Linked DNA regions of Canis lupus familiaris. The protein of the gene in region 2 interacts with the protein of the main gene of each other region in a biochemical or structural test. Links are inferred from orthologs where the notes say so. Each region holds a gene or a part of one and is shown on either strand. Other genes may lie near its edges.

Evidence for each region. The genes of interacting proteins can lie anywhere in the genome.
Region 1: the proteins of YWHAQ (region 2) and CDC25B form a complex in vitro, tested with the Homo sapiens proteins (2 studies listed by BioGRID). The link is inferred for Canis lupus familiaris from reciprocal best matches to the Homo sapiens genes YWHAQ and CDC25B.

The regions. Positions count from the first base shown.
Region 1 is NC_049245.1:18,011,404-18,015,676, forward strand, and holds the start of CDC25B (M-phase inducer phosphatase 2), read right to left. Parts: upstream 2,801-4,273; 5' UTR 2,766-2,800; coding exon 2,566-2,765; intron 1,714-2,565; coding exon 1,604-1,713; intron 979-1,603; coding exon 927-978; intron 1-926. UniProt on the Homo sapiens protein: Tyrosine protein phosphatase which functions as a dosage-dependent inducer of mitotic progression. Directly dephosphorylates CDK1 and stimulates its kinase activity.
Region 2 is NC_049238.1:6,670,539-6,674,013, reverse strand, and holds part of YWHAQ (14-3-3 protein theta), read left to right. Parts: intron 1-832; coding exon 833-956; intron 957-3,327; coding exon 3,328-3,475. UniProt on the Homo sapiens protein: Adapter protein implicated in the regulation of a large spectrum of both general and specialized signaling pathways. Binds to a large number of partners, usually by recognition of a phosphoserine or phosphothreonine motif.

The DNA of each region.
Region 1 (4,273 bases), on a different chromosome or scaffold from region 2:
TTATTGGCTTGGTTTCCAATCTGCACCTGGGCCTCGTGAGTTAAGCAGGAACAGTTCTGTGTTGCCACCAAAACCCAACCTGCAGTTCCCCTGCCCACCCCCCCCCCACCCCCACCGAGTTCTCTCCCTGTTTCCTGTTTGTGAACAAACCCTGTGGCCCAGCCCAGTCTAATCAAAGGCAGTGGGAGGAAAGACAGCCACTACCCTAACCCCAAAGCCATAGTCCCTGAGCCCAGTTTGGGGATGCCCAGCTGTCCCCACTATTGCCTGGCAGCTGCTCTTCCTGCTGGGGCTCTAACAGCTGGATGGGAACAGCTGTGATCCGGGAGATACTACTCACGCCCCACAACCGAGGGGTAAGGATCTGTCCTGAGCAGAAGGCCCTCTCCATTCTCTCTCACAAAGGGCCTGGAACAGGGGTTGGCCAGAAGGGTTAAGTGTCACTGAAGGCAGAGGTTGCTGAGAGGGCAGCCAAGGGCTGAACCAACCTGCAGCAACTGTTTTGTTTGGACTACAGTGAATTAAAAGTTTTGAACTGGTTGGAGCATAACTTAAAATAGTGATATTTCACAGAAAAAAACAAACAAAACATGTGTAAAGGCAAAAGAAAAACAGGACACACACCAGGCCTATATCCCATAGGCCAAGAGCTGGCTGAAGTATCCACTGCTCCCAGTAGCGACTGTCCCCACTACCTGGCCCTGAGCCCACACTCAGCTGCTCCTTTGGGACCAGGCCCTTCTCTGAGACAGGAAGCAGAATCTCAGGACTTGAGATCAACGAGTCCCCCCCCACCCCCCAACACCACACAGATTAGAAGGGTCTGTCCACTCTCCCAGACTTCCCCAGTGGGTTTATGCTGGAACCAAGATTCCCAAAGGCAGGGGCCAACTCCTTGGTAGTGGGGATCTCTTTTCTCTACTCACGTCTGCTCTGCCATCTGGGGATCCATGGGGCTGGGGGAATCCATACAGAGACCTGGGGGGACAGAGCACTTTGGTCTAAAAGTGGTGGCATCTTCTGCACATATTCCCCCACCATGTCCCAACTCTATTCAGAAAAGGGAGAAACCAGTTTCTATTTTAGATCTTGACACACTTAAAAATAGTGAAACAGAAACCCATGCATGAACCTCAAGGGCTGACACACTGCCCCTGAAATCGTGCAAGGCTCCACTCCCTGTTTACTAGGGAAACTCCTCGGTATAGGTTTTAAACCAAAACTTTGCTAAGCATTTTACTTGAACTGGTTTAAAGCAATATGTTTTAGAAGAGATAACAGCTTTTTTAAAGGAAAAGGTTACAGCTGAAGGCAAGTGAACGCTATAAAATGACCAACTTTCAGCCCTGATGCCTCCCAGGTGGGGCTGTGGTTCAGGGACTTTGGCGCCTGGTTTTAAATAGGTAAGATCTCATCTCCCCCAGAGGGCCCCACCCTACTGCCCGCTCAGCCAGTCTGGGCTGGGTGTGGTGAGCCCCAACAGGGGTGAGCAGGTGGAGGCTCCTGCACCCACCAGGTTGTAGGGGAAATGTTAGTCTGATCAGCAAGGAAGTGGAGAGACTCAGGCAGCCCCCCTAAGTCCCCTGGCACCCCTGAGCCTCACCTGCATCAGAAGATTCAGAAGACTCAGACGACAGGGAGGATTCAGATGCCCGCCTCCGGGACAGGGATAGGCTTGTGAGCAGGCTGCCCACCTGCCGCTTTGGGGTCTCACTGAGAAGGCAACAGGGACCCAGGGAAGGAGGAAGGTAAACTGGGGCTTGAGGGCTGGCTGGCCTATGTGCCCACCACCCACCTACCTCTGAAGGGCCCACCATTGCCCCAGGGAGGCAATGGCCCTGAGGGTCTTGCCCTCTTTTCAGGCCTTCTGCAGAGGCCCTAAGTAGCTTTTCTTTATTAAGAAAGGTCCTCTTGGGTTCCTCAGGAGGTGAGCCCGGGGCAAGAGCAAGTAGGTAGGTTGAGGGCCATTCTGGGGGATGGCAGCAGAGTAGCCCCTTCCCGGAACCCCTCAGACCCCTACTCATCCACAAGCCTTTCTGGAGCAAGGGCAAGACTTAGCTCTCCACTGCTGCTGAGGGCAACCCAGCCTGGACACTGCAGGTTGCTCAGGAAGCAGGATCAGTGTTTAACCCTTAACCTCCAGAAAGAACTGGGGGTGGAGGGAGCAGGGGCACAGACAGGAGGACATAAGAGAACCAGGCTCCTCTGCCACCCTCAACTTCCCACTCCAGGCTCAGGATCCACTATCTGGGGCAAAATAGTGGTGGTTAGGGCAGAGATTAGAGAGACAGCATGGTGGAGGCACATGAGGGTGTGTGTGGGGGTGGTAGGTGGGACGGGTGTCTCCAGAGGCTCGCGCTGCCAGGAGCAAGCCACCTGGAGGGTGTGGGCAGCACAGACCCGGCCTCATCGCCCTAGTCCCAGATCCCTGAACCAGTCACTCCCCAGGACACCTCCCCACTCCGCTTCTCAGATTCGGCTCCCACGCGGGGGTCCACAGGAGGCCAGGGACCAACACCCTAGTGCCGGCCTCACCCCACACCCAGCGTCGGTGGGGCGCCCTACCTGCCGAGCCCCGCGAGGTTGTGCATGGTCTGGGTGAGGGTGGTGACCGGCGAGGAAGCGGCCGCGCGCTCCGGGGACCCCACGAGGCCGTGAGCTCCCGTCTGGAGGCCCAGGAGGTGGCGGGGACGCTCGGCTCCACGGCCCAGGCAGACCGGACTGAGAGCCGGAGCGGGCGCGGGCTCCGGCTGGGGCAGCTCCATCGCGGCGGGGCCCGCAGGAGGCAGGCGGGAGGGCCGGGCGCGGGGCGACGCGGGGCACAGCTGCCCGGGACGAGGTGGGGAGCAGGCCCGGGGGGGGGGGGGAGAGCCTCGGGGCCGGAGCGAGGGAGGAGGGAGGAGAGGGAAGCGGGGAGGGTGGGGCGGGGTGGAGGGACGCGGGGACCGACCGCCCGTCCGGGAAGCCTCTCGGCAGCAGCTGCCACCTCCACCTCCTTATATATTCGAAAAATAACAGCGGCCGCGCCGCCGGACGCCGCCAATGGGGGCGCGGGGTAGGGGAGGGCGGGGCCGAGGGCGGGGCCGGGGGTGGAAGGCGCGGAGGCTGACCAGCCCGGCCCAGCCCAGTTCCCGGCTTCGGGTGCGGCTAAGGAATTGGGGAACCTCTGAAGCCTCCACGCACCGTCCTGTCGCTCCCCCAGCCAGGACTCGAGGATCCTGGCTTCCCAAATTCTGCCTCTCGGGACGTGGTCTGGAGTTACCCTCGGTGCAGAAAGTCCCTGGGGAAGCCACACCTGCTGGGGTGGCCTCAGAGGGACCTCTCCCCCCACCCCCCGAGATTTAACACCACCTACAGTCTCACCGCCAGGCACCGTGAGAGGCTCCACTCCGCGGCTTCACCGTGCGGTCAGTGTTCGCCACTCCACTTTATCATCCACTCGGATGTTGAGGCGTGAAGAAGTTCATTAACTCGTTCAAGGTCACCCAAGGCAAGTGATAGAGCAAAAATTCACCCCCGGCGCTCCTGCAGCTGGCAGCGCGCTGTGTCCGTGAAGCGTCAGTAGCCAGCGGGGCCTCCCCACACACCCGGCACTGGAGGTAGACCCGAGGTGGGGACCTACGTGTAACTCATGGGGCCCCGGGTTACAGATGACCCCAGGGGGTCTTGTTTTCTCCAGCAGTCTCAGTGGAGGCTCTAATGGCTGAGGTTTTGGCGACGGGGGCCAAAGAAAGTGTTCCAACCTCAGAACCAAGTTATGGAAATAATCTCATGCCCACTGACGGTTTGGCTAATGTGATGTCGAGGGCATCACATTGTTTAATTGGTATTTCTTTGATGACCAAGGAAACGGAATCTGTCACTAGTTTAAAATGAGCATCTTATAACTGATGACTTTTCAGCAATCCTGCTTTCCTGGAATGAGCCCTGGAAGGCTACAGTAAAAAGTGAATTAGCAGTAAGTGCTTCTGCATCTCATCTCCCCAGCAAGGAGATGGCCTCTGGCTGGGTGGAACACAGCTCAGGAAAGCAGGAACTGAGGCTTTGCTTCCCTTCTCTGCAGCCTCATCCCTCTGGTTCCACGGGCAGTGGGTGGGAGTGGCAGAAGGGAAGGCCTGGCCTGTGTGGGGCTGAGTGGGCTAGGGGACTTGTGGAAGAAGGGGATACAAAGACCCCAGTCCTATGTAAGAGGGGTAGGATGGTGCAGATCATGACTTTTCCTTCACCCAACATTTTTCTCAGCTTCTGTGATGTGTCAGGTGCTATGCTTCAT
Region 2 (3,475 bases):
AAGTACTTTCTCTTGATCCCTGTATTTACCCTTATTTTGGATGAGCAGTAGTCTGTAAGAGACACTGAACAGCCAGCCCTGCTCTGAGCCATGCTGACTTACTTGTTCTGTGATTATATTCTTCATACTTGATGTCTTAAACATTTTGTTTCCCTTCTTTAAAATGATTGTGCCTGGCTGGCTCAGTCAGTAGAGCACGTGACTCTTGATTTGGGGGTTATGAGTTTGAGGCCCACGTTGAGTGCAGAGATAACTTATACACACACAAACACACAAACATGTAAAACTAAAAAAAAGCTGATTGCACATGCACATTTCTGAACTGATACATTCCTACTGTTCCTTCTTAACAAGTCAGAAATATCCCTTCAGGGAAATCCTGTTTAGCTAGTGGCCACCTCTAGCACAGCCAGATGCTCTCTCTGTGGTGCTACTATCCTAGATAAAGGATAAACAAGATAATGTTTCTGTATCTTACTTAAGACTGTGAGCTCCTTGAGGGCAAGAACTTTGTGTTTTCTTTATATCCCCTCTGGCCAAATACAGTGCCTGGCACCCAGCCAGTACCAAGAAATGCTTACTTGAATGAATGGATGAGTGAATAGACAAGCTCTTTATATTTAGTGTTTGATGTAACCTAGCTTTATTAGAAACTATGACTTGCTATAGGCCAAAGCATTCAACTGATGACAACTACATGACCCCTGCTCTCAGTCCATGCTTCAAGTCCAAGGTGGAATGGTTGTAGTTACTGTGGTAGTCCTTCATTGTGCTTACCTGTAATAAAATAGCTTTTTATTGGTACCTAATACTTTATCTTCCTTCTTTTCAGGAATTGTTGGATAAGTATTTAATAGCCAACGCAACTAATCCAGAGAGTAAGGTCTTCTATCTGAAAATGAAGGGAGATTATTTTCGGTACCTTGCTGAAGTTGCGTGTGGTGATGATCGAAAACGTAAGTATGTTTGGTTTATAGGTAAAGTTAAAAAAGGAAGGGAGGATAAGTGGGACACTGTGACAGTAGTCGCTATGTAATCTCCAGGTCCTCTGTAACTTTTTAAAAAATCTTGGAATCTACATACGATAAAATTAATGTAATGTGACCTTAATGTTCTAAAAAATGAAAATAGCCATGAATTTACATAATGTACTGTTTTTGAAAAATTAAACTCAAATTCTGGTGATAATCTGCTAAGATATTATTTAAAAGGCTTAATCTTGGGCGCCTGGGTGGCTCAGTCATTCAGCTTCCTACTCTTGATCTCAGCTCAGATCTGGATCTTTACAGTTGTGAGTTCAGGTCCTATGCTGGGCTCCACACTCAGTGTGAAAAATAATAATAATAAAGAAAAAATAAGAGAGGCTTATTATTACTCTTTTATACTTTAGAGTTTGGTGAAGCATATTTTTTAGCCCCCTAGTTATTTGCATATGCTTTGAGAGTTTGTGCTGTTACATGGCCTTTTGTGTCATCGTACCTTGAAACTTACTGGAAATTACAAAGAGAATATAGAAACAGCATGTTATGCTTTTTCTGTTTGACAATTTATTAACTACCTATTTTGAAGGATCATTACATTGACTACCAATACTTACAAGACCAAATTTCTGAGGAAGAGAGGTGAGTGAGAGTTTTGCTGGTATATAGTTTGTCATAGAAAATATAGATCTGGGAAAGAGAATAAATGAATTGCTAGAGTTGATTGTAAAAAGAAAATCAAAGCAATTTATTACTAGTGGACTTAGCCTCCTGGAGTATTAGTAGCTGAGTACAAGTCAGGTCCTATTAAATTTTGTGTATGTGCCTGCTATCATATTTATCAAATTCTAGTTAGAATTTTCACCCAATTCCTTATTTCTGGTAGGTTTATTAATTTGTTTTTAATTTTGCCCCATCCAAAAAGAGTGTACTTTTTCAAGTAGTTACTGTGGCTTCCTACCCTCAAAGAGGTACTAACTGAAAGTGGAACAGTTTTACCACCCCAAATATCAGTGTAATTGAAGATACAAAGAGAAAACTATTGCATCCTACTGTAACAATTTGTATACTAAACTTATTGATGTATAATTTCTGTTGTCATAAAGATAAGCAAAGCTGAAAGTAACAGATATTTGCAAGTCACAAGGATATCTTTGGGAGACTGGGACATAGCCCCAGCATTAATCTTATTTAACCCTTTCTAGCTTCCTGGCATTTCTATCCCTATCCATAGAATACTCCGGTAGACTGGGACTCATAGTCTGTATTTACAGCTTAGGAGCTGAGACCCCTTACTGCTACTCATTACAGTACTTCCTTAAATGCCAAACAGCAAGAACTCCTTACTATGTGAGGGCTCTACCAGCTATATTTAGATTAATAAGTGTGCCATTTCTGAAGAAGGAAAAATCCTTATATTCAGGCCATAAAAAGGTTAACTTTACATTTCTATTAGAGGAGTATTTCTAAAGCTGTAATGGGCCAGTGGTCTCATTGAGAAAACCTACCTACTCTTTTGAAAGCATGGCTATAGTCAGATTAGAATTGGTAACAATCACTGAACAGCTTTTTTCAGGAAGGTAACCTTTTTATTAGGCCAGTAATCAATCTCTTGTCAGAGCAGATTTTATTTTGTATTTTGACACTTTTATATTGCCTTTTACATAATACATCTTGATACCAAGGATTAGTATTGTTTTTACAAATAAGTCACAAAAAAAGAGATTTTGGTGGTATGATCTTTGTAAAGTGTTTTCATGATTTTGAGAAGAGATAGCCAAAAATTTTTTCTAGCTTTATTGAAGTATTATTGACGTGTATCGGTGAAATTATTTTTAATTGCTGCATTTCCAATTAGTAAAATTAAAAGATACGGAAAAAGAAAATTGTTTGAGTCACAGATCTGGAAAAATCCAATTGCACTATCTCATATTGGGTTTTTTAAAGCTGATTATAAGCAAGCAACATGGGACGCCTGGGTAGCTCAGCAGTTGAGCATCTGCCTTCAGCTCAGGGCGTGATCCTGGGTCCAGGGATCAAGTCCCACATTGGGCTCCCTGCAGGGAGCCTGCTTCTCCTTCTTCCTGTGTGTCTGCCTCTTTCTCTGTCTCTCATGAATAAATAAATAAAATCTTTAAAAAAATAAAAAAAGCAACATTATAAACTAGTTTCTCCATAAGCTGGTATGAGGTAATGTTTTCAGTTTGCTACTATGGTTTTAAAGGAAGGCCACAGAGAAAAATCCAGCTCTGCATGAGGTAGTAGCATAAGTTAAAGGTTAATATGCTGTATACTTGATGGATATTTTCAGTATTGTGCTTCTTTTGTCTCTCCCCCCCCCTCACAGAAACGATAGATAATTCCCAAGGAGCTTACCAAGAGGCTTTTGATATAAGCAAGAAAGAGATGCAACCTACACACCCCATTCGCCTGGGGCTGGCTCTTAACTTTTCTGTATTTTACTACGAGATCCTTAATAACCCAGAGCTTGCCTG